3 linked regions of the Elephas maximus indicus genome follow. Each later gene encodes a partner of the first gene's protein in a complex. Links are inferred from orthologs where the notes say so. Each region holds a gene or a part of one and is shown in the gene's direction. Other genes may lie near its edges. The genes, in order: WDR48, USP12 and USP46.

What was found.
Region 2: the proteins of WDR48 (region 1) and USP12 are in contact, whole or in part, in a crystal structure (PDB 5K1C), measured with the Homo sapiens proteins. The link is inferred for Elephas maximus indicus from reciprocal best matches to the Homo sapiens genes WDR48 and USP12. Residues at the interface, in NP_065890.1 of Homo sapiens: Arg50, Trp77, Asp118, Tyr119, Lys121, Leu137, Ser170, Tyr172, Thr188, Asp211, Asn212, Lys214, Ser230, Gly254, Trp256, Arg272, Ile363, Ile364, Leu424, Lys425; in NP_872294.2 of Homo sapiens: Arg185, Leu187, Thr188, Cys189, Glu190, Thr191, Ser227, Lys230, Cys236, Arg237, Ser238, Lys239, Gln240, Glu241, His243.
Region 3: the proteins of WDR48 (region 1) and USP46 are in contact, whole or in part, in a crystal structure (PDB 6JLQ), measured with the Homo sapiens proteins. The link is inferred for Elephas maximus indicus from reciprocal best matches to the Homo sapiens genes WDR48 and USP46. Residues at the interface, in NP_065890.1 of Homo sapiens: Arg50, Trp77, Asp118, Tyr119, Lys121, Leu137, Arg139, Ser170, Tyr172, Thr188, Asp211, Asn212, Lys214, Ser230, Gly254, Trp256, Arg272, Ile364, Leu424, Lys425, Gly521; in NP_073743.2 of Homo sapiens: Arg181, Leu183, Asn184, Cys185, Glu186, Thr187, Cys222, Ser223, Glu224, Lys226, Cys232, Cys233, Ser234, Lys235, Gln236, Glu237, Gln239.

The regions. Positions count from the first base shown.
Region 1 is NC_064845.1:1,148,678-1,155,851, reverse strand, and holds the start of WDR48 (WD repeat-containing protein 48), read left to right. Parts: upstream 1-4,080; 5' UTR 4,081-4,125; coding exon of another isoform or gene 4,126-4,173; intron 4,174-7,174. UniProt on the Homo sapiens protein: Regulator of deubiquitinating complexes, which acts as a strong activator of USP1, USP12 and USP46. Enhances the USP1-mediated deubiquitination of FANCD2; USP1 being almost inactive by itself.
Region 2 is NC_064841.1:59,199,106-59,206,595, reverse strand, and holds the start of USP12 (ubiquitin carboxyl-terminal hydrolase 12), read left to right. Parts: upstream 1-4,408; 5' UTR 4,409-4,594; coding exon 4,595-4,642; intron 4,643-7,490. UniProt on the Homo sapiens protein: Deubiquitinating enzyme that plays various roles in the regulation of the immune response and inflammation.
Region 3 is NC_064823.1:109,100,002-109,107,061, forward strand, and holds the start of USP46 (ubiquitin carboxyl-terminal hydrolase 46), read left to right. Parts: upstream 1-4,020; 5' UTR 4,021-4,123; coding exon 4,124-4,159; intron 4,160-7,060. UniProt on the Homo sapiens protein: Deubiquitinating enzyme that plays a role in behavior, possibly by regulating GABA action. May act by mediating the deubiquitination of GAD1/GAD67.

The DNA.
Region 1 (7,174 bases):
TGACAGCGTTGTACTTCAGGATAGATTTTGAAACGCTCTTTTTGACGATGAATGCAACACTATTCCTGTTCGAGTTGTCATCCCCAGCATAGTAGACTATGTGATTGTCCGATTCAAAATGGCCAATACCAGTCCATTTCAGCTCACTAACGCCTAGGGTATCGATGTTTATGCATTCCATTTCATTTTTGACAATTTCCAATTTTCCTAGATTCATACTTCGTACATTCCAGGTTCTGATTATTAATGAATGTTTGCAGCTGTTTCTTCTCATTTTGAGTCTTGCCACATCAGCATATGAAGGTCCCGAAAGCTTTATTCCATCCACGTCATTAAGGCTGACTCTACTTTGAGGAGGCAGCTCTTCCCCAGTCATCTTTTGAGTGCCTTCCAACCTGGGGGGCTCATCTTCCAGCACTGTATCAGACAATGTTCTGCTGCTATTCATAAGGTTTTCACTGGCTAATGGTTTTCAGAAGTAGACTGCCAGGTCCTTCTTCGTAGTGTCTTAAGCTGGAAGCTCAGCTGAAACCTGTCCTCCACGAGTGACCCTGCTAGTATCTGAATACCAGGGGCATAACTTCCAGTGTCACAGCAACACACAAGCCCCCACAGTATGACAAACTGACAGACACGTGGGTGATAGAGCACATAATCAGACCAAAGAATCGCATGGGCAAGAGTCCATTGCATTACTTCTTTCACCGTAGAGTGAATTTCTCGGTCAGATGCAATATATCAGATATTATGACAGTGTATAAATCATTTAGTAAACACCCAGATGGCGATACAGAGCCCAATAAATAGAAAATGTTGTCATTTTAACATGTAATCAATATAAAGATTATCGACATGTTACATTCTTATTTTTATACTAAGTCTTCAACATTCAGGAGTATTTTACAGTTACAGCACATCTCAGTGTTAAGTAGATGTATTTCAGGTGCTGCTAGAAGTACAGGGAGCATGGGAAGGAAATCAAAATCTAGCGTAAGCGTCACTCAGAGCGGACAGATAGCTACTTCCTCAACAATGATAGAGGGCCAATGGAAAAATCTAGAGTTAAGTGTCACCTGGAGAGGACAGATAGCTACTTCCTCAATGATGAGGGAGGGCCAATGGAATCAACTTGCCCCCCGAGTGGCTGGCTCACCCTTCAAGGCTATGGGGTAAACCAGCAACTCGGGACTGGTCACTGCTGTTGGCAACTTGAACACTCAGCAATGGCTTGATGATCCCATGCATAGCTTTCAGTCCTGATAGCATCGCCATTTTGTTCATGATTCCACTGAGTAAGCACTGATCCTGAAGGAAGCCAAGTTTCATCCTCAGAGCAGTTTGTTTCATCTGTACAGCTCTTAAGGTTCATTCTAAGAGGCCAGTTACCATATACTTTCCCAAGTCTTCCTTGTCACCAGTTTGTCATGCTTGTTCTTCCGTGTCCTTGAACAGCTGGCCAAATGATTTAGCCTCTGTCCATGAATTGACTGTGAATTACTACCCAAGGCCATCTCTCCTTCCAGGCAAAGTGAACATCAAGATACACTCCTGGACATTCTGCCCATTAAAACAATTTTACAACTTCAGTGTTCTTCAGGGCCAGCCCCAAGGGGCGGGGCGGGGGGGCTACAACAACACAGGAATCCATTTCCAACAGGTACCAGCACGTTGTGGAGAGTAATGTACCTGCACAGTGCCTGGCATATCATGGCTACTCAATACATTTTTATTAAGAAAAAAAAATGCAGATCATGTCCCTCCCCTCTTAAGTCCTTTCAACAGCTTCCCATTGGCTTAGAAGACCCTGCTGGGTGTGGTCTCTGTGCTCCTCTTTGATCTGCCCAGCAACCACAGAGTGAAGGCCTGGCAATCTACTCCATAAAATTACAGCCATTGAAAACCCTACCGAGAGCAGTTCTACTCTGACACACATGGGGTCACTGTAAGTTTGAATCAACTCCAAGTAGTAAGGGTTTGGGTGTTTTTGTTTTTTCCCCTTGGTTGCTCTCTGTACTCCAAGACTTGGCCTTTAGTTCTTGAAATGTTCCATGCTCCCTTCTGCCACAAGATCTTTGCTCAGACTGTTCCCTCTCCTTGTCTAGTGAACTACAGCCTTTAGATCCTGGCTCAAGGATCCCTTCCTGCTGTACAGCTCTTTCTTCAGTACTTATCTCCACATTCATTTATACGTTTGTTTAATTAATCCCTGTCTCACCATGGAACTCTAAGTCCTATGGCTAATGTGCACTCACCACTGAACCCCCAGCACCAAATACAGGGCTGGGCACTTAATAGATGCTAATAAATGTTTTGAATGTATACATGGATAAATGAATCAATGAGTCTGTAATAAAATGCAGTCCATGTAATTTATCTACAAGTTATCACCGCCAATTTTGCCTAACAGGCTTTCTGTCATCAGTTTCTGCTCCTCTAATTCAGATTTCTTTACCGATTTTTTAAAAAGGCATTTGCCAGGAGGTTCCCTAAGCATTATTTATACATTAGCACTATGCAATAGAGAAGAAGTCCTGGTGGCACAGTGATTAAGCATTTGACTGTTTACTGAAAAGTCAGCAGTTCAAAGCCACCAGCAGCTCCAGGGACCATAAAGACTACAGCCTTAAAAACCCTATGGGCACTTCTACCCTGTTCTTGAACAACTGGCCAATTTAGCCTCTGAACCTGAACTGACCATGAAGGCCGTCTCGCCTTCCAGGCAAAGTAAACATTAAGACATGCTGCCTGATGGGGTCACTTAGTCCAATATTACAGCCTTGGAAACCTCATAGGGCAGTTCTACCCTGTCTATAGAGCCACTATGAGAACAGACTCAATGGCAACAGGTTCTGCAACAAAAATATAACATGAGCCACGTGTTATTTTAAACACTCTAGTCAAAAAATTAAAAAAAAAACACCGCCATTCAGTCAATTCCGACTCATAGCGACCCAATAGTCACATTTACAAATGTAAAAAATTTTAGTAACACATGCTATTTAACCCAATATATAGAAATTAATATTTCAACACGTGATCAATATAAAAAATTATGAAAGAGGTATTTCACATTCTTCTTTTGCATTGTCTTCAAAATTGAGTGTGTACTTGAGTTACATCACGTCTCAGTGAGCTGGCCACACGCGCCTGGCGGAGCCCGCACGGAACTCAGTGGACGGAGCAGTTCCACGGGGTCCACTTTCCGAGAGAGAGCTCCGCCACCCTCGGCACCTGTCATCGGTGTCCGGAAGACCTGAAGCTACACTTTGACCCAGAAGAGGTGACCGGGACGAGGTTCCAGAGCCGGCCCCGGCTCCCTCGGGCTCTGCAGACGTCCCTGGGGCGCCTTTTCTCTCCTTTGTGGGACGGGACGCCTGTTCGCCTGAAGACCGGCCTGCCTCCTTCCCAAGGGCGGCCGCTTCTCTCCTCCCAGGCCAGGTCGTTGTTCTGCGAACGTCTAGGTGCCTCCTTCGCGGCCAAGCAGTCGGCTCCCTGGCTGCCGAGGAGTCTCGCCCCCTACCTGGCCTCAGCGCTCTGCCCGAGGACCGCCCCAGGGAGCGTGCAAGCCGGGGTGTGGGGCCCCACGGCGGAATGCGCTTGCTGCCTCGGCTCGGAGAAGCGGGTGGTCCTCCGCCGGCGCTGTGCCCACAGGAAGGCTCTGCTTCCACGAGACCGCCGCGCGCCCCGAGCCCGGCCACGGCGCGGAGCCGCCGCCGCCGCCTCACGCACGGCCGCCGCCGCCTCACGCACGGCCGCCGCCGCCGCCGCCGCCGCACGCACGGCCGCCGCCGCCGCACGCACGGCCGCCGCCGCCGCACGCACGGCCGCCGCCGCCGCACGCACGGCCGCCGCCGCCGCACGCACGGCCGCCGCCGCCGCACGCACGGCCGCCGCCGCCGCACGCACGGCCGCCGCCGCCGCACGCACGGCCGCCGCCGCCGCACGCACGGCCGCCGCCGCCGCGCGCCCTTCCGCCGCCGCCTCACGCACAGCCGCCGCCGCACGCACGGCCGCCGCCGCCGCACGCACAGCCGCCGCCACCAACCCCCGCCCGAGGGGAAGGGGCAGGACATCCGCTCGGCCCGCGCCATTTCCGGAAGTGACGTCGGAGTGTCAACATGCAAGATGGCGGCCCATCACCGGCAGAACACGGCCGGGCGGCGGAAAGTGCAGGTATGGGAGCCCGGGTCCTCGGCCTCTCGGACCCGACTGCCCGGCCCGGGGCCGCCTCCCGCCAGCAGATGCCTCAGGCCGCGGCCGGCGGGGAGCGGGGCGGGGCGCGCGGGCCCGGGCGAGCGGCGGTGAGAGGTGGGGCCGCGGCGCTAACGGCTTGAGGAAGGGGCGGGGGCGGCGCGGACGCAGACTCGGGGCCCCCGGGGCGCGCGCCCTGGAACCCGGGGCGGCCGGTCGCCCCTTCTCCCGGAGGATCGGGCCCGCGAGGCGGTGGGCGCGTCCCCTGGCCAGCCGCCTCCCCTGCCCTGCCTTCCCCGAGGCGCTCTGGCCGAGGCCTGCGGGGCTTCCCGGTGGGCGGGCGGGCGGCGAGCGCGGGGACCCGGCGGGGCGTGACGGGCGGCGGGGCGCCGACGACCCCGGCTTCCGCGGTGGGGTCCGCACGGGGAGCCCCGCCACCTCTGCTGCCGGAGCTCGCTTCCCAGTGAGGGGCAGCGGCCGGCCGGGTGTTGGTGGGGAAATGCCGGTTTAATTTCGTTTTCAGCGTTTCTTCATCTTCATCGTACATCCCTGAATCTTTCTTTTCTATTTTTATGATTTATTATCCAAGGTGAAAGAATTATCTAATCATTCTGCGTATGCTTTATGCCTTCGTGAATTCGTTTTTATTTTGGGTAAGCGTAAGAGTTCTTGCTATTTTTTCCAGCAATGCAGGGAATAATAGAAGACCTATTTCAGGTGTTTGCCTGCAGGTATAGTGTATGCAGTAGTGGCGACATGGTACGTTAACTATTTGTCCAGCACTTAATTTGAATTCAGAAGTATGCAAAGGTTTGAGAAAATGTAGGAGTAAGACCCAGGCTTTCTTGACAAAACCCACCATGATATGTCGTTCTGCAGGTTGAAATCAGTGGGTGTTTAATAGTCAGGACAAAAGGTGCCTGCAGTAAGGTAACCCCAGGAAAAGGGTGTGAGGCATAAAGTTTTCTGAGGCAGTTCCACTCTTTGTTTTATTGATCTCTTTGATCAGGACGGTGTCTAAAGTACTCATTGGATATTTGTTGAATTGAGTGAAATTACTAAGAATCTAAATCCCCTGAAATCACGGTGTAAGGTGATCGTAGGTGGTGACACTGTCTCCTCCCAACTAAAATGTAACCCAGAATTGTAACTTAATTGTGTTGCAACTGGACAGCCTGAAGTCGTGGTATGTAATTGACCAGATGATTTTTCCCAGGGAATCTAGGTGGTTAAGTATTTAGGCAACACTAATCAAGAGAAGGAAACCCTGGTGGCGTAGTGGTTAAGTGCTATGGCTGCTAACCAAAGGGCTGGCAATTCAAATCTGCCAGGCACTCCTTGGAAACTCTATGGGGCAATTCTACTTTGTCCTATAGGGTCGCTATGAGTCGGAATCGACTCGATGGCACTGGGTTTGGTTTGGGTTTGGAATGGAGAGAAAGGCTTGACGACTGGAGGAACCAATAGATGGTGGTGCTCTTCCAGATACTGGAATGGTACACTCCATAGGGGAGTAAGGGTTGTTAAAGAGGCCTCTTAGTGCCCTTCGTTTAGATGTAGGAGGCAACTGTGAAAGTCAAGATGTGAAAGACTTAAGTTAACTGCCGTACAGGTGGAAAACTGTTTTAATCCCAGTGTGAGCCCACACAGGTAGAATGAGGGAGGTGATAGTTCCAGACTGCTTGTCAGAGTACAGACCTAGCGTTTGGGGCTGAGAATTGAGCACCTTGTTCTCAATAAGTATAGTAACCAGATTGGTGAACTGACTTGAAACTAAGATTAGCCTGCAGAAGAGAAGATTCGGGGGCCTTGTCAGCTGCTTTCAGAGCTTGTCCACAATGTATAAAAGCAGTGTGAGAAGCCACAGAGATTGATATTTTATCTCTACCTGAGAGAGAATTTTTGTTTGTTCTGAGAAGTGTTTTTAAAACTAGTGCACGTGCATTGCAAGAAACCTACAAATAATAAAAAAGGTATAAACGATAGCTGCCCTCCACTCAAAGAAAGCTACCATGAGTAATGCGATATATGATTCTAAACTAGGATTTCTCAGCATGAGTATTACTGACATCTTGGGCCGGATCCTTTTTTGTAGTGGGAAACTGTCCTGTACGTTGTAGGATATTTACCATCATCCTTGGCCTCTGCGCAATGCTAGTAGCACCCCCACACTTGGGACAACCAAAAATGTCTCCAGACATTTTCAGATGTCCCCTGGCAGTCCAAATTACCCTGATTGAGAATCACTGTTCTTTACCTCTTTGTGTACCTGACATACAGGATTTTTCACTATAAATGGAGCCATCGTGCCTGCTATTCTGCGTCAGAGTTATAAATGTACGTTACCATTGCCCAGTAATTTCTCTTCTGAAAACCTCTTCTGCAGAGATACATGTGTGTATACCTTTCTCTACTTGTGCAAGGGTGTTTATTGTAGGAATCTTATCAGTGTGAGAAAGTGAAAAAAATTTAAGTGTCCATCAGTGGAGAATTGACAGATTATGGTAACATGTCAAGACACAGCTGTTGAAGAGATAAGCTAGGTATGTACCTATTAAGAAGGAAAGGTGCCCAGAAGTCAAAAAAGCAAGTCAGTATAGTACGAACCCATTTCCACAAAGGAAATACTGCATTTTAAAAGCCTGGAAGGATACTGACTGTCAGTTACCACTGGGGGATTGGATTGTGTGATTACGGGTAGGACAGGAAACGGAGTCTCTGTGTGGTGCAGAAGGTTTAGTACTGGGCTACTAAGGAAGGTTGGCAGTTAGAACCCCCCCGGGGCACCTTGGAAGAATGTCCTGGTGGTCTACTTCTGAAAGGTCACAGCCACTGAAAATCCTACAGAAAGTGATTCCGCCCTAAAACACCTGGAATCGTCTCAGTGGCAGCCGATTTGGTTGTTTGGGTTTGTTTGTTTAAAATATGGGATATCTTACTTTAGAATACATGTACCTTTATTTTTAAAGCATTTTATGATGTA
Region 2 (7,490 bases), on another chromosome or scaffold:
TTCTCTCTGTGCCTTGGTTTTCTCATCTATAACATGGGGATAATAATAGTATCTACTTCCTTGGGTTATTTGAGGAGTCAGGAGTTAATACACATAAAGTGCTTAGTGGCACAGATAAGGTCTCAATAAGTGCCAACTCATTAGGGATGCCTTCTGTTCTTGACAGGTGCTGTAGAGTCAATTCCGACTCCTGGTGACCCCATGTGACAGAGTAGAACTGCTCCACAGGGTTTCCTAGACTGTAATCTTTACAGAAGCAGATTGCCAGGCCTTTTTCCCACTGAGCTGCCGGTGGGTTCGAATTGTAGACCTAAGCAGCCTAGTGCTTAACTGTTGTGCCACTAGGGCTCTTTTATGGATGTTTCACATCCCCCTTGTACCCCCCTTCCCACCATCATCACAGGTAAAAGGAGAGGTGGCAGAAATGTATGAAGTAGCCCGTGGCAAGCTGGAGACAAGACGAGTAAAGGAAAATAAGGAGTTTGTGAGGAACTGGGAAGTGCATGATTTTGTAAAGGTATTTCAAACAAAAACTTGTTAAATACACTGTGCTGACCACCCAGATTAAGCTTAGCCCTAGTCTGTTCACGTGCTGGGTCCCTGAAGGCTTTGGCATATTTTATAGTTTACACATTCTGGCAGGCTTGCTGGTCAGTCACACACATCCGCCTTAGGCAAAAGGGGGCTCTTTGTAAAGTTGATACAGTTGCCCGTAAAAACTGTGTTCCACCAACTGCTCTGACAGGTATCACAATAGAGGGTTCTGGACAGAGCAGGAGACAAATGTAGAACAAAATCCAAATTCACAAAAATATGCCAGACCAGACTGACAGAGCCTGGTGGACACCCCGAGAATATGGCCCCTGGACACCCCGTTAACTCAGAACTGAAGCCACTCCTGAAGTCCACCTTTCAGCCTAGGATTAGACAGGTCTATAAAACAAAAACAAAAAAAAAATTTTTTTTTTTTTTTTTATAAAACAAACAACATGCCTGAGGAACATGCTTCTTAGCCCTAAAGCATAATAAAATTAAAAAACGAAATTGCCAAATCTAAAAAAAAAAAAAACACAAAAAACCCTGAGTTCTAGGCCCAGATTAAGTGTCCTGATTGCGCAGATGGTTAACACTTGGCTGCTAACCAAAAGGTTGGTGGTTTGAACCCACCCAGTGGCTCTGCAGGAGAAAGGCCTCGTGATGTGCTTCCATATAGATTGTTGTTGTTGTTAGGTGCCATCGATGTGAGGTGCCGTTGAGTGGGTTTCGACACATAGCGACCCTATGTACAACAGAGTAAAACGATGCCTGGTCCTGCCATCCTCACAATCATTTCATTGCTGCGTTCAAGCCCATTGTTGCTGCCATTGTGTCAATTCATCTTGTTGAGGGTCCACCACCATCAGTCAGTGTGTTGTATAGTGGTGGCTTGTGTGTTGCTTGGATGCTGGAAGCTATGCCACCGGTATTTCAAATACCAGCAGGTGCACCCATGGTGGACAGGTTTCATTGGAGCTTCTAGACTAAGACAGACTAGGAAGAAGGATCTGGCGATTTAACTTCTGAAAAAAAAATTAGCCAGTGGAAACCTTATGGATAGTATAGATCACAACCTAGAAAACCCTATGGGGCAGTTCTACTCTGTCACATGAAGTTGGTATGAGTCGAAATCGACCCAATGGCACCCAACAACAACGGTGTGTGCCAAGTGTGGAGTTTCAGCCAAATCTTATCCTCAACTGCATTATAGATAGTGAAAACCACCCTGTACAGCACCTGGCAAATAGTAGGATCTCTCCGTTTGTGCCTCTCCACTCAACCTTAGGCTAGGAGACAGGTCATTGTGAGGTTCTGCAGTCAGGGTCTATGACATCACTTGCACATTTAGATGGATGTAACACCTACTAGGCATGCCTCCAGATGATTCTATCAGAAGTCAATTTAAAAAAGGCCTGTTTTCATATAAACTTATGTATAAAGTTGGACCAAGGAGGCCTCCATTCTTGTCACATTTTAGGATTTACAGGCAACTAAGCACGTGGGTGGGCAGCATAGATGGAGGCGTGGCTAAGCCTCTGGCACATTAGATCTGCTCCCTGGAACAGAAGGAGTCCCTGGGTGGTACACATGGTTAAAACCGTTAACGTGCTTAGCTGCTAACCTGAAAAGCTGGTGGTTTGAACCCACCCAGAGGCACCTTATAGGAGCTTTGGTGCAAAGTGGTTAAGCGCTTGGTTGCTAAGCAAAAAGTTGGTGGTTGGAACCTACCAGCTGCTCCACGGGACAAAGATGTGGCAGTCTGCTTTTGTAAATATTATAGCCTTGGAAACCCTATGGGGCAGTTCTGCTCTGTTCTACAGGGTCACTCTGAGTCGGAATCAACTTCGCAGCAGCAGGTTTAGAGACACCTTGGAAAAAAGGCCCGCTGGTCTGGTTTGAAAAAATTGGCCATTAAAAACCCTGTGGAGAATGGACACAGGAAATACAGGTTGGAAAGGAGGAGTGTGCTGTCACATTATAGGGAGAGCAACCAGGGTCACGTAACAACGTGTGTATAAATTTTTGTATGAGAAACTAACTGAACTGTAAACTTTCATTTAAAACACAATAAAAACAAAACAAAAAAATCCTGTGGCATGCGGTTCTATTCAACACACATGGGTTTGCCATGAGTCGGAGTCAAGTCGACAGTAAGTTTCTTTTTCCTGGAAGAGAACACAAAGTAGAAAGGATAGGATGCCATGGGCATTTATTAAGATGGGCAAGACGAACAGGCTCCAGAGGCATGGCAACGTCAAAGGGGCCCACGCAAGCCCCTGGGATTTAAGGAGTTTTTAGTCCTTGTACAAACGGGGTGGAACACAGTGAAGAATTCAGATGGGTTGTCAGGAGGCTAGCAGGAAAATAGAGACTATGGCAATTAGTTTTAAATTGGTGAATGATCTCTCACGGCTGGCGATGGAAACTGCAGTGGGCTATGGAAACTGCTCATTAGCGCCTCTCCTCAAGCGATGCCCAGTCATGCACCCTACCTGCCATGCCTTAGGTACCCCTCTGGAACAGAGCCCTACCTAAGCTCTGGCTTGGGTGTCAGCAAAGAGGAAGGGCCCCAGCTTCCATGGAGGCAGGCACCTGGAGAACCAGGCTGGTTACTATGGGACTTGGCTATATTCAAACCGAAAAATATTCCCCCAAACAAGCTTATAACGGAAATCCCTATGGAAACTGCATTTGTGTAGCAAATGTATCTTTTTCAACTAAATGTTGTTTGGCTGCTTTATTTGCTTTTTGAATACTTTTAACCTGTGATGTAAGGAATACCTGATTTTAGAGCTTTGTCTAAATTCAGTCCCTCTGCCCCACTGAAAAGGGGGAATCCCCCAGGAAAGCACCCCAGCACTCTAGTTTGCCAACCGAAAAACACCACCAGCTTCCTAATATAATAAAGTTATTCTACTCATTTGAACTGCTTTCTGAAATAGGAAGAAGTAAAGCTGAGCTGCCTGACATGAAAAGCAGGGTGCAAGTATGAATTTTGTAAAAATAGAAAAGAGGAAATATCCCACCCTCACAGGACATTTTTCTCACTTGCTGGCCTTACTGCATCATTCTCGCTGCTGGGTTGAGATCTTTCTTTTTTTGCAGTTCCTGTTGTCTAGAACAAATATATTTAGATACTGTATTTATAAACATATCTAAATTCAAGGCTAACGGGAGCCAGGAAGGCAGGCCCTCCCTTCCTCCCCTTTATCTTTTAGTTCAAAGAGCTAGACATAATTTCTCCTTTGCCACTTTCATTTTTGTCTTTCTCTGAGTTATGGGCTGAGGCAACGCGTTCGGGTTTTTTTTGGTTTGACCCAGGTAAATACCCAATATATGTTTTAAAAAAAAAAAACAACCCTTACATTTTGGAAAGTGCTCTGGAGGGTTCATCACCCGGGCTATCCTTACAGAAGCGGGTTTCCCCTCTTCCCACTCTGAGTCACCCAGATAAGCGCCCTGCTCTTCGGTTTCGGGGGCCGGGACGGGCCGCGGTCCTCCCCCTGCAGGGCTTACCCCAGGACCCGCGCCTCGCGCGGCCGGCGCCGGTCTCTAGGACCGCGGGGAGGCGGGGCGGAGTGCGGCGAGGCCCAGACCCCGCCCAGCCCAGGCGCGGGGTGGGGCCGGGCCGGACTTCGCCGCTCGCTCACTCGCTCTGCGGGGTGGGGGCGGGGGCAGGCGGGCAGTGGGCGGGGAGAGCGCGGCGCCGCGGGGGCCGCGCAGCGGAGCAGCCGGGCACTAGGGCCTCGGCGGAGCCGCTCCCGGGAGGGCTGGGCGGGGTGCGCGGCGGGGGCGGCGGCTTCGCGGGCAGGCGCGGGCCCCGAAGCAGCGGCTGCGCCCTGCGCCGGGGAGGAGCCGGGGGCGGGCGGGCGGCCGGCGGCGGGGGCCGGAGCCCGAGGCCGGGAGTGCCTGAGCGCCGGCGGCGGCAGCGGCAGCACAGGCTCGGTCCGTCAGGCCGCGCGGCTCGGGGTCCGCCCGGGGCTGCGGCGAGAGCGGGCGCCCGGCTCCCTCCCCCGCCCGCCGCCGCTGTGATTGGGTGGAAGATGGCGCTGGGCGGATGGAAATCCTAATGACAGTCTCCAAATTCGCCTCCATCTGTACCATGGTAGGTGCGGCGGGCGGCGGCGGCGGCTGCGGGGCCTAGCGCGCTCCTCGCGGCCGGCCGGGCGGGCGGTTGGCCCGGGCGCGGGGGAGGGGAGGCGGCGCCGGCGCGGCGAGCGCGGCTGCGGGCGGCCGATTAGGGCTGCGGCGGCCGCGGGGCGATTAGCGCCGGACGTGGCGAGTGGGCGGGCTCCGGGCTGCTTCCCGCGGGGCGGGCGCGGGGCGAGGGCAGGGGGGCGCGGGCTGGGCGCTGCGGCCGTGCGGCGCGGGCTGGGCCGGTGCGAGGGGCGCCGAGCGCGCGGCCCCATTTTAGGCTGGCCGGGCGCCGTGCGGGGTGGTGTCCCCGTGTGTGTGTGTCCCCGTGTGTGTGTGTGTCCCCGTGTGTGTGTGTGTGTGTCCCCGTGTGTGTGTCGGGGGCGGGGGGTCCCCGGCAGGCAGGCAGGCAGGCGGGCGGGCAGGAAGGGTCTTACTCCTGCCCGGGGAGAGGACGGAAGTCAAGTGCAGATTTTCTCCGCGCGCCGCGGAAGGGGGCGTCCTCCGAGCCACGTTCGGGGGAAAGGGGGTGTGTAGGAAGGTGGAAACTTTAACTAAGTGCCGTTGACGTTTTTTCCATTTTCTACTCTTTCCGAGGAATGAGCTCTCCCGTTCCCAGCCATGTGTCCAGGTGGCAGTCTTGTCTCTGGGAATCCACACGAATCTTGAAGAGCAGCATTTCCTTTCCTGTCATTTGTTTACTTTAATACACCAAACATCTGTGTGTGACTTGAAGTGTTTCTGTGCAGAGAAGGGCTGCAAGGGTTGTTGCGATTGTTTTCTCAGGGCTTTTAGGTGGATTGAAAGGGAAGGGTGTTAATGCCCGTTGAAAGTCCAGAATGAAGCAGAATGTGGTTGTGTTTAAAACTTGGTGTTTCTGTGCTTGGCCGAAAGGACTACAAGTGGTGTGCAAAATGGCACAGAATTTGCTTGGTTAGCTCCCTAGGAACTGACGTCTAGGGATCATAGTTATGAGTCATTCCCCCCAAAAGTTATTCATTGCAACGTGGGCCTTTCCTTCTGTTTCACGTCTCACTAGCCATTTGTATGCATCTGATTGTGCTTAGAGATCCCCAGGCCACTTTGTATCTGAGGTGGTTAATTTTATATATCTTTAAAGAGTGGAGAATCACATAGGAGAGGTGCTTTAAAAGCAGTCTACACTGCACGCTGAGAAACAGTATTAAAAAAAATGACTGAAATCATAATGTGTATTTGGGTAGCATCTGACCTCATATACATTCGTGCCCTGTAAGGTTATAATTGAGTTCAGAAATCCCGAGTTTGGAGAACCGTGCATAGCAGACGGGACAGCTTCCCACTGGCAACATGTGTATCTCATGCCTCTTGGAGTCAAGGCAACTGTGCTGCCAGATGTATAACGGTACAGAACATATATAACCTGTGCTACATGTGTCTTGATAGTCACAATAAACACCCATGCTACTGGCCTATGTGTGTACTGTACTATAGTTTTTATTGTTATTTTAACGTGAACTTTCCCTGCTTACAAATAGAAAGTTTACTGTGTAATAGTGCACACTTCGAATGGTAGGCAGCAGCTTCCAGTCTCCTGTATCGCGCGTCCCCTGAGTGTTGTAGGGTTATCTCTCTTTAGTTTTGAAAACATTATCAGGAAGTGCATCATGGCTCCCAAATGCAGCAAAAGCAATGCTGGTGATAGCAGCAAGAGGCAAAGGAGGACTGTCGATTTGGAAGTGAGACAAAAGGTTGTTAAACAACACCAAGGTGGAAAATCATCAAATGCTATTTCTTGAGAGTTAGGCATGTTTGCACAACGTCCGAAACCCCTAGCGTATTTCACAGAATATATTGTTGATACTAAGCAGCACGTGACAGGGAAGAATGAATCATCGAAGGATCCATTTCCCCAGTTGGATATTTGTTCTTTCTAACAGTGTACATTTTAGAAGAGCATTAGTATTAAAGGGACTGTACCGACATGGTTTTAGAGGATTGTTTGGACCAATTATTTCTAGATATGCTAATTATCTTTTTCTGTTGCAAAAGGACTGTGATAATGAAGTGTTTTAAAGAGAGAAGCTTGCCAAATTGCTGAGCTGCACACATGGTCAGGTCATAGTTCATTGTCAGAGTCTAGTGTTTCCGGAACTTGAGTGATATGTTAGTCTTTACTAATCATTCTTTCATTCACCTACTCAGGTATATATTTAGCATCTATGATTCGGAAATGGGTTTTGGTTAAGTGCAAGAAAAGAAGTCCTGGTGGCACAGTGGTTAAGTGCTAGGCTGCTAACTGAAAGGTTTGCGGTTTGAACCCCCCAGCTGCTCTGCAAGAGAAAGATGTGGCAGTCTGCTTCCATAAAGATTACAGTCTTGGAAAGCCCATGGGGGGCAGCTCTGCTCTGTCCTGTGACAGGTTGCTATGAGTCAGAATTGACACGACAGCAATGGCTGGAGTGCAAGAGGCTTTGGTGAGTGTTGAGGATACAGCAGTACAGCAATGATCAAGGCAAATCCTTCTTTCCTGGTGTTTATATTCTAGTTGAGGGAGGCAGACAGCATTTAAATAAACATCTTGCTAAGTGTGTGCTGTAATCAGATTAGGGCAGGAGGGCACAGAGAGATTTGCCAGGGTGGCACAGAGAGTAAAGCTCCTTCTGGGGCTCCCACCCAGGTGCATTGGTTGCACGTGTGGTGTGTGTGTATTGGCAGATATAGAAATGGCAGTGCCTGGCCAAATGTAGTTTCAAAAGTAGTATTAAAAAGTAGGTGTGTCTGTATTCACGTGGAAACCCCAATGGCGTAGTGGTTAAGAGCTACTATGGCTGCTAACT
Region 3 (7,060 bases), on another chromosome or scaffold:
CAACCTTTTGGTTAGCAGCTGAACTCTTAACCACTGCACCACCAGGGCTCCTGGTGAATAAAATGGTGCTGGTCAGTTCAGTAAAATGTTTCAGGTAAGATAATTACCTGCTAAGTATCTCCTATGCAGGTGCCTAGCATTATGTTAGGTATTTTAGGTTTCTCAAAAATATGTAAAAAATGATTCTTGATTCAAATTTACCAAGGAAGATGAGATTAAGAAGACTTCTGTGGAAGTGAGGCTGGAGTTGAGCTTTGAGGACCGAGTGTATGTGAAATAGAAGAACTGGCTGAGGACTGGGCAGTTGTGTGCCTGCAGGCTGGAAGCATGGAATGTGGTGTGTTTGTTTGGTTAGGAGTCAGAGAGGGTGCGGGGGGCGGGGGGGCAGAGCAGATTAGGGAGGTGCTTGCAAACCAGGCAGAGAGTCAATCACTGAAGGTATTTTTGAGCTATTCAATTGTCTGCTACTTCTTCTCTCCTTCCCTTCAAAGCCAAACATGTTTTCTTACTTCCCTTTCACTTATCAACCCATTCCAATATATATTCTATCCTAACCATTCTACCCAAACTGCCCATTATAGAACTGAAAGGACTCTTTTAGTAATAGGCTTTGATGAAAGAATGCTTACATGAGTCTTGGTGGGTTACTCTCTAAGTTTCAGTTTTCTTTAAAATGGGGATTATAATATTACCTCTTTCATAGGGTTATTGCAAGTATTAAATGTATTAATGCATGTTAGAGCTCTATTCAAGAAGTAAACATTACTACTATTAATTGTCTTCTTTGATCTCTTAGCTGCATTCGATACATTTTGGCCACTTGCTCCATCTTGAAATACTCTTCGACTTTGGTGTTGTTGCATGTTTGTTTGCTTTTCTTCAACCACTTCGGAGGCTTGGGCTTAATTTTCTTTGGCTCATCTTCCTCCACCTGATCCTTGCATGGTGGAGGTCTTCATGATCTTATCATAGTCCCTTGTCTATTTTCACTCTGTGCTCTCTGTCTAGGCAATTTCATCTATAATCTCCTATCCTCCATCATCTTCTATATATTAGTTATTCTCAGATACTTATCTCCAACTTAGACTTTTCTCCTGAGCCCCAGACTTGTAAAGTCAAGGGCTTCTATTAGAACTATTCAAATAATTCGTGGTTATCTCAAACTCAACTCATCTGAATAGAGTGAGCTTCTCCCCAACCAACTACACCTGAATCTCCTCCTTCAGCGTTCACTAGCTGAAAACATGGGATTACTCTTCAAGTTAAAAACCTGGGTCTCACCCTTGTCTCTCATGGACTGCTGCACCTGAACCTTAGTGTCTGAAAGGCGAGAAAGCTCCCCAAAGTAGAATTTGGGAGCTGTTACTGCAGAATGGATGGCAGGCTGGCAAAAACAGAATTCCACCAAAAGTGATTGGTTGGCTGGAGTCATGCATCTCACACTTTCTGCTCACTTGCTTCAACTTCCTTACCACACAGTAGAATTTATTAGGACTGCGATGGTACCTGAGAGCCTGTGCTTCTAAGAAGCTCCCAGGTATAGCAAGGGGCTAAATCACACTAGTTAGAGTGTCTTCTCTCCTCAAACTCCTTTATTCTGTTTAGTGCCAGCTTATAGCCCATCCTTCCTTTTGTCTACTTTTCCGAGTTCTAACACTCTATATCTTCATATCAGCTGCTCCCTGTAGAGGAGCCCTGGTGGCACAGTAGGTAAGTGCTTGACTGCTAACTGAAAGGCTGCCACTTTGGACCCACCAGCTGCTCTGCAGGAGAAAGATATGGCAGTCTGCTTTCATAAAGATTATGTGGGCAGTTGTACTCTGTCTTATAGGGTCGCTGTGAGTTGGAATCAACTCGACAGCAATGGGTTTTTTGTCCCTATATGTGGAACACTTTCCTTCCAAGCTCTTCCATTAATTTGTCAACCTTTTCAAGATCTTACTACCTCCAAGTAACATTTCTTCACTGGGTGAAGCTGAGGTTGTGATTATTCTTTTTCAACTCAAGCCTCTTCCAATTTAGAACTGTGAATATGAACCTTGTAGTAGTGTAAAATGTATTTAATTATTCATGAGTCTGACAAGATACGCTGTGTTCAATTGATTTGTTGTGTATGTAATTCACTGCCTGAGTTTTTGGTCTTGATGTTAGTCCATGTTGAACACCTTGGTTTTGAAGTTGTTTTGTGACATTCCTCAAAATTTTAAACCTTTCTGGCCTCAGTTACCTGCATGGCCATAGTTTGGGTCTTGCTGTCTTCCCCTCCTCCCCCAATGTAATCAGCCAGGGTAGCACACCAGCTTCACTGGGGACATGATCTGGACAGAATACTTGACCCTCAAGCCTTATTTTACTCATCTGCAAAAAGGAGATAATAATGTCTACTACCTGATAGTTATTGTGCCGACTGAAGACCATGAATATAAAACACGGGTGATTGATAATGGTAAGAAATCAAGTTATCTTCATCGTTATCATTGAGTCGTTAAGGCAGAATGACTTAAAATAAGCAGAAAATGTTATTTCTTCAATTCATTCAAAAGTATAGGGCCCATAATGATACCCCCCTGGCTCCCCCTCCCCACACGTTGAGTTATTTCTATCCCAGGTTCTTGCTATATTAGGAGCTAACCCAGTGCCGTCGAGTCGATTCCGACTCATAGCTTGTGGCTCTCAAATCTTATGTGGATAATGCTAAATGGCTAACATAGGATAGGGTGATATTTTCTCAGTATGTTATCCTTGGTTAGGTAAAGGTTATTTTCAATTATATTAATTTCTCTTCTAATTCGATTTGTCATTAAGTATATGGGTTTAAGAATTTATCACCCATTTCACTTCTACAACTTCCCTTTTGAAGGCACTGAATTGCAACCTTGTATGTAGAATTGTTTCACACATTTGGAAATGTGCTTCTCCAATTCTTATGACTATATTTGCTAAGTGATGTACAGATTGGCGCTTTGAGCTGGAAACCATGACCTTTTATGGCAGGAAACGTGTAAAAGTCCATATGGCTCCTTTCTAAAAATCCAGAGAAGTTGGGTGCACCTGAGGGGGGGTATGTTTTCCTTGAAGATACGGAAAAATCTTGTTCTTATTCTTTCCGGACTCAAGTAGCTGTTTTGACAGTTCCCAGCCCATGATCAGAACTGGGACTTCTCCTTTGTACCTGCTAATGTCACAAATTGCCTGAGCCGCGCCGTTTCTGGCCTCCGCCCAGCCCCAGATTCCTCTCCCTTTTCGGCGCCCTTTCCCAGGCAGCCGGCCCGTGGCTGGCCAAGGCTTTCTGACCACTCCCATGTCCTGACCCCATTTTACTTCTTGGGCACCCGCCGGTGCCATTCGGCTAGAACGCGGGAGAAGAACGGGAAGTTGGACGTAGCACCCCTACCCCTCGCCTTCTCCACTCGTCAAAAATAAAAATGCGGGGCTGTTGGGGGTCGGGAGGAAAGGCAAGGAAAAGTGACGACGGAAAACGGCCCCCTAGCCTGCCAGCCTGGGCTCAGGGCGCCCGCCTCTCCCTCCTGCGCCCAACGCCTGGCGCTGCCCCTTCTCTCCCAGCAGCGGCGCAGGTCCCAGCTGATGGTCCGCCGCCTCCGCCACGACCCAGAGGACCGAGGAAGCGCTGCTGCGTCGGGGTGGGCCCGGGGGACCCGAGGCGCAGCTCCTGCAGCCGCGCGAGCCAGGGCCCGGGCCCGCATTACAGCCCAAATAGCGAAGCAGGAAATAAAAAGGAAGACACCGAACCTCGGCGGCCGGGCGCGCGGGCAGAGGAGGCGGGAGACGCCGGGCCGGGCGCGCGGCCGGGGCGCTCGGAGCGGCCAGCAGACTCCACGCGGCGGGCACGCTCGGGCCGCCCCTCCTCTCGGCGCCGCCGGCCACGGCCCAGGCTCCCTCGCTCCGCCACTCCCCGCCTTCCCCCTGCGCTCTCCTCCCCGCCCCCGCCGCCTCCCGCCGCCTCCTCCCCCTCCCGGCCTCCCTCTCCCAGCCAAACTGAGAGCCGGACCCCAGGCCGCCTTCTGCCGCCGCCTCGCCGCCCTCCTGCGAGCGCTCCACCATGGACAGTCCTGTTTTCACCTTATAAAGATGGCGGTGCGGGATCGCTGCAACCTTTAGACTAATGACTGTCCGAAACATCGCCTCCATCTGTAATATGGTGAGTGGCCACAGCCTCGGGGGTCGCGCCCGAGGCGCGGGGGAGGCGAAGAAAGGGAAACCCGAGCTGCACACGCGTCCGGCGGCGGGGGGCGGTGGAGTGGGGGGCGAGGGCGGTGGGTCCGGTCTGTTGAGCTTCGGAGAGAAGTTCCCGGCCCCGGGGCTGGGCGGGTCGGCCGCGGCCCCAGGAGCGGCCCCAGGAGCGGCCCCAGGAGCGGCCCCAGGAGCGGCCCCAGGAGCGGCCCCAGGAGCGGCCCCAGGAGCGGCCCCAGGAGCGGCCCCAGGAGCGGCCCCAGGAGCGGCCCCAGCAGCGGCCGGAGCCCCCTGCCGCATTCTCAGACCTGGGACCCCGGAGCCAGCCGGCGCTGCCGGGCCCCAGCCCTCGGGTTGCGGTGGAAACGGGTTGGCGGGGTGGGGAGGAGGAACCCGGACGTCCCGCGGGAGAGGGTTGGGGGATAAGCAGGGGTTGGGGTGGAGGGCACCCATCCTGTCTTTGCATTAAATTCCTGCTGGGCTTCCTGGCCGCCCTCCTCTCATTTTGAGTTCCGGCGTTAGACTGTATTTAAAATTCGCTTTGCAGCGGCAATCAGTTTATCCGGAGAAATTTGCAGTGTAATAAAGCTGTAAAAAAGTGCAAAATTGTGGTTAGGGAAGTGAACTTCAACCTGATTTGGGAAAGCTTGGTGATTTGTTCTGGCTGCCTCAGTTTCTCCATGAGTGAAAGAAGGTTGGACGCCCTCAGGGTGGGGGTGGCTGTGGGTGTGGAGAAGGAGGTCTGCAGGGTCCTCCTGCCTGCTCCAGTGTAGACCCAGTGGTGCCTGGTGGGCGTGGACTCAGCAAAGCAAAGGGACATCACTTGGGGCTCTGATGGGTTCAGGTCCATAACGAAGTGGTCGCTTTGTGTTTCTCCCATCGGTTTCCCTTCCTTTCAGTTTCTGCAAGAACATCATCCCGCCTTTGGGTCCCAAGGGTGCATTTTGCTGGCACCACTTGTCAGAGCCTTTGGGAGTGCTGCTTGACCCTTGGAGTGAGGCATTGCCCTCCTGTGCAGGGTGCGGGGTGTGTGCTTTGCCTTCACCCTCAAGGCTCTCCCCTAACCCTGACGTCGGCCCCCCTCCTCCCCCACCTGGGACATGTGCTTTTTTTTTTTTTCTAATTGTGGTAAATATATAGACAACATTTTCCATTTCAACAGTCTTCATGTGTCCAGTTCAGTGGCATGAAATACATTCATGTAGGCCAACCATCAGCATTAACCGTGCCCCAAATTTTCCATCATCCTTAACAGAAGCTCAGTGTCCCCTAAGACACATGCTGTTTTAACTCCACTTTTGGGAGAAACTCCCTTGAAGCTAGTAGTACAGGCCCCTAAAGAGAATCGGAGGAGCTTGCCTGAGGAGCCTTGGGGGTAAGGTGATCTGGCTGCCCTTCCCCCATCACACAGCTTTTAAGTCTTCTGTTTCACATTCTGTTGCAAGATCAACACATGGCATGGGAGCCTTAGAGAAGCATGTGTTAGCTCAGGGATGGAATTGAGACCCACTGATGCTGGCTTCAATTTTCAGCCTTGTTGGTCGTGGCCACTATCGTGGCCAGCAGAGCAAATACTGAGTCTTATCCAAGTGATAGCTGCCAAGGTGCTGGCACAGGGAGAGTAGATGTGGTGGGTGGCTTTCAGAGTCTTTTCGCTTTCTCTCCCTTCCTTCTCCATGCGGAGACGGGTCCTGGTCCTTCCTGTTGAGCAGCATTAATGTTGCTTGGTATAGTGAAAAGGTGATGTCTTTCTTAGGGATTTTTCTCTGCTACGATCCTGAAGGGAACTGTGAAACCAGAGCGGCTTGTACATGCTCTCATGCGACTGTTGGGGTGGCCTCAGGCCTACAGGGTAGGCAGGCACCGTCCCAGCGCAGTGGTGTGGTGACTCTTCTCTGCCCTGAAGCAGGATGGAAACTTGAAAGCTAGCATGCCCCAAAAGGAAGCCACCCTCCAGTTTTGTTTTTTTTTTGTCCTCAGTGCAGCTGGGTCTTCTTGGCACATCTGGGCAGAATGTCACAACCCGTTTCCAATAAAACTCGAGGCTCAAAGCCTCAGCCAGGGAGGACACAAGAGGAGTAGGCCAGTACTACCATAGGCCCAACATTTGTCCGCTGGAGAGTTGCCGCGTAACGTGGAGACCTCAAAAGGTGCCAAAGTTAGCATCATCACCCAGGTAAAGTGTGGAACCAGTAATTCATAAGAAGGGAGTTTTTACGTTCTAATTTAGCCACTGTTTTGAGCACGTGACGAAGAGTTTGGGCCCTGGAGTCAGCTTTCCTTGGTTCATGCTCTGGTTCTACTTACGCCAGCTTTGTGTCCTTGAACAGGTTATTCTCTTAGTTTCCTTATCTGTAAAATGGGGTTGATCATGGTTACTGTTTTATATGTGAGTATAAAATTGACAGTAACAGCAAAGACTTGCAGTGTACTAGGCCCTGTACCTCAGCAACTCATTTCTGCAGTTTGCTGTTATTGTCAATGTCATCTTCCTCATTGTTGTCTCACCTTCCAATTTTCTAAGGGAGAGTGGAGCTACTAGTATAAACAACCCATGTTTTCATTTATGCAAACCAAGCTGAGTGGCAGTGTAAACAAAGGGCTGGGGTGGGAAGCCCTAACCCTGCTCCTTATGAGGCTGCTCAGGCCACCCCTGCCCCTCTCAGTCTCACTTCCCAGAGAGGAAGGCTTGGTGATGAGGAGACTGCTGTCTTTCTACCTGATCAGATGGAAAGACTGTTGTCTTTCTACCTGATCAGATGGAAATATTCATTGGACTCCTTTAAAATTTTCACTTGATGAATTGTTTCCAGGTAGGTCTTTTATGGGGTCCTCCCAGTTTAACTCTTCCCTGAGGCTCTTACTGATC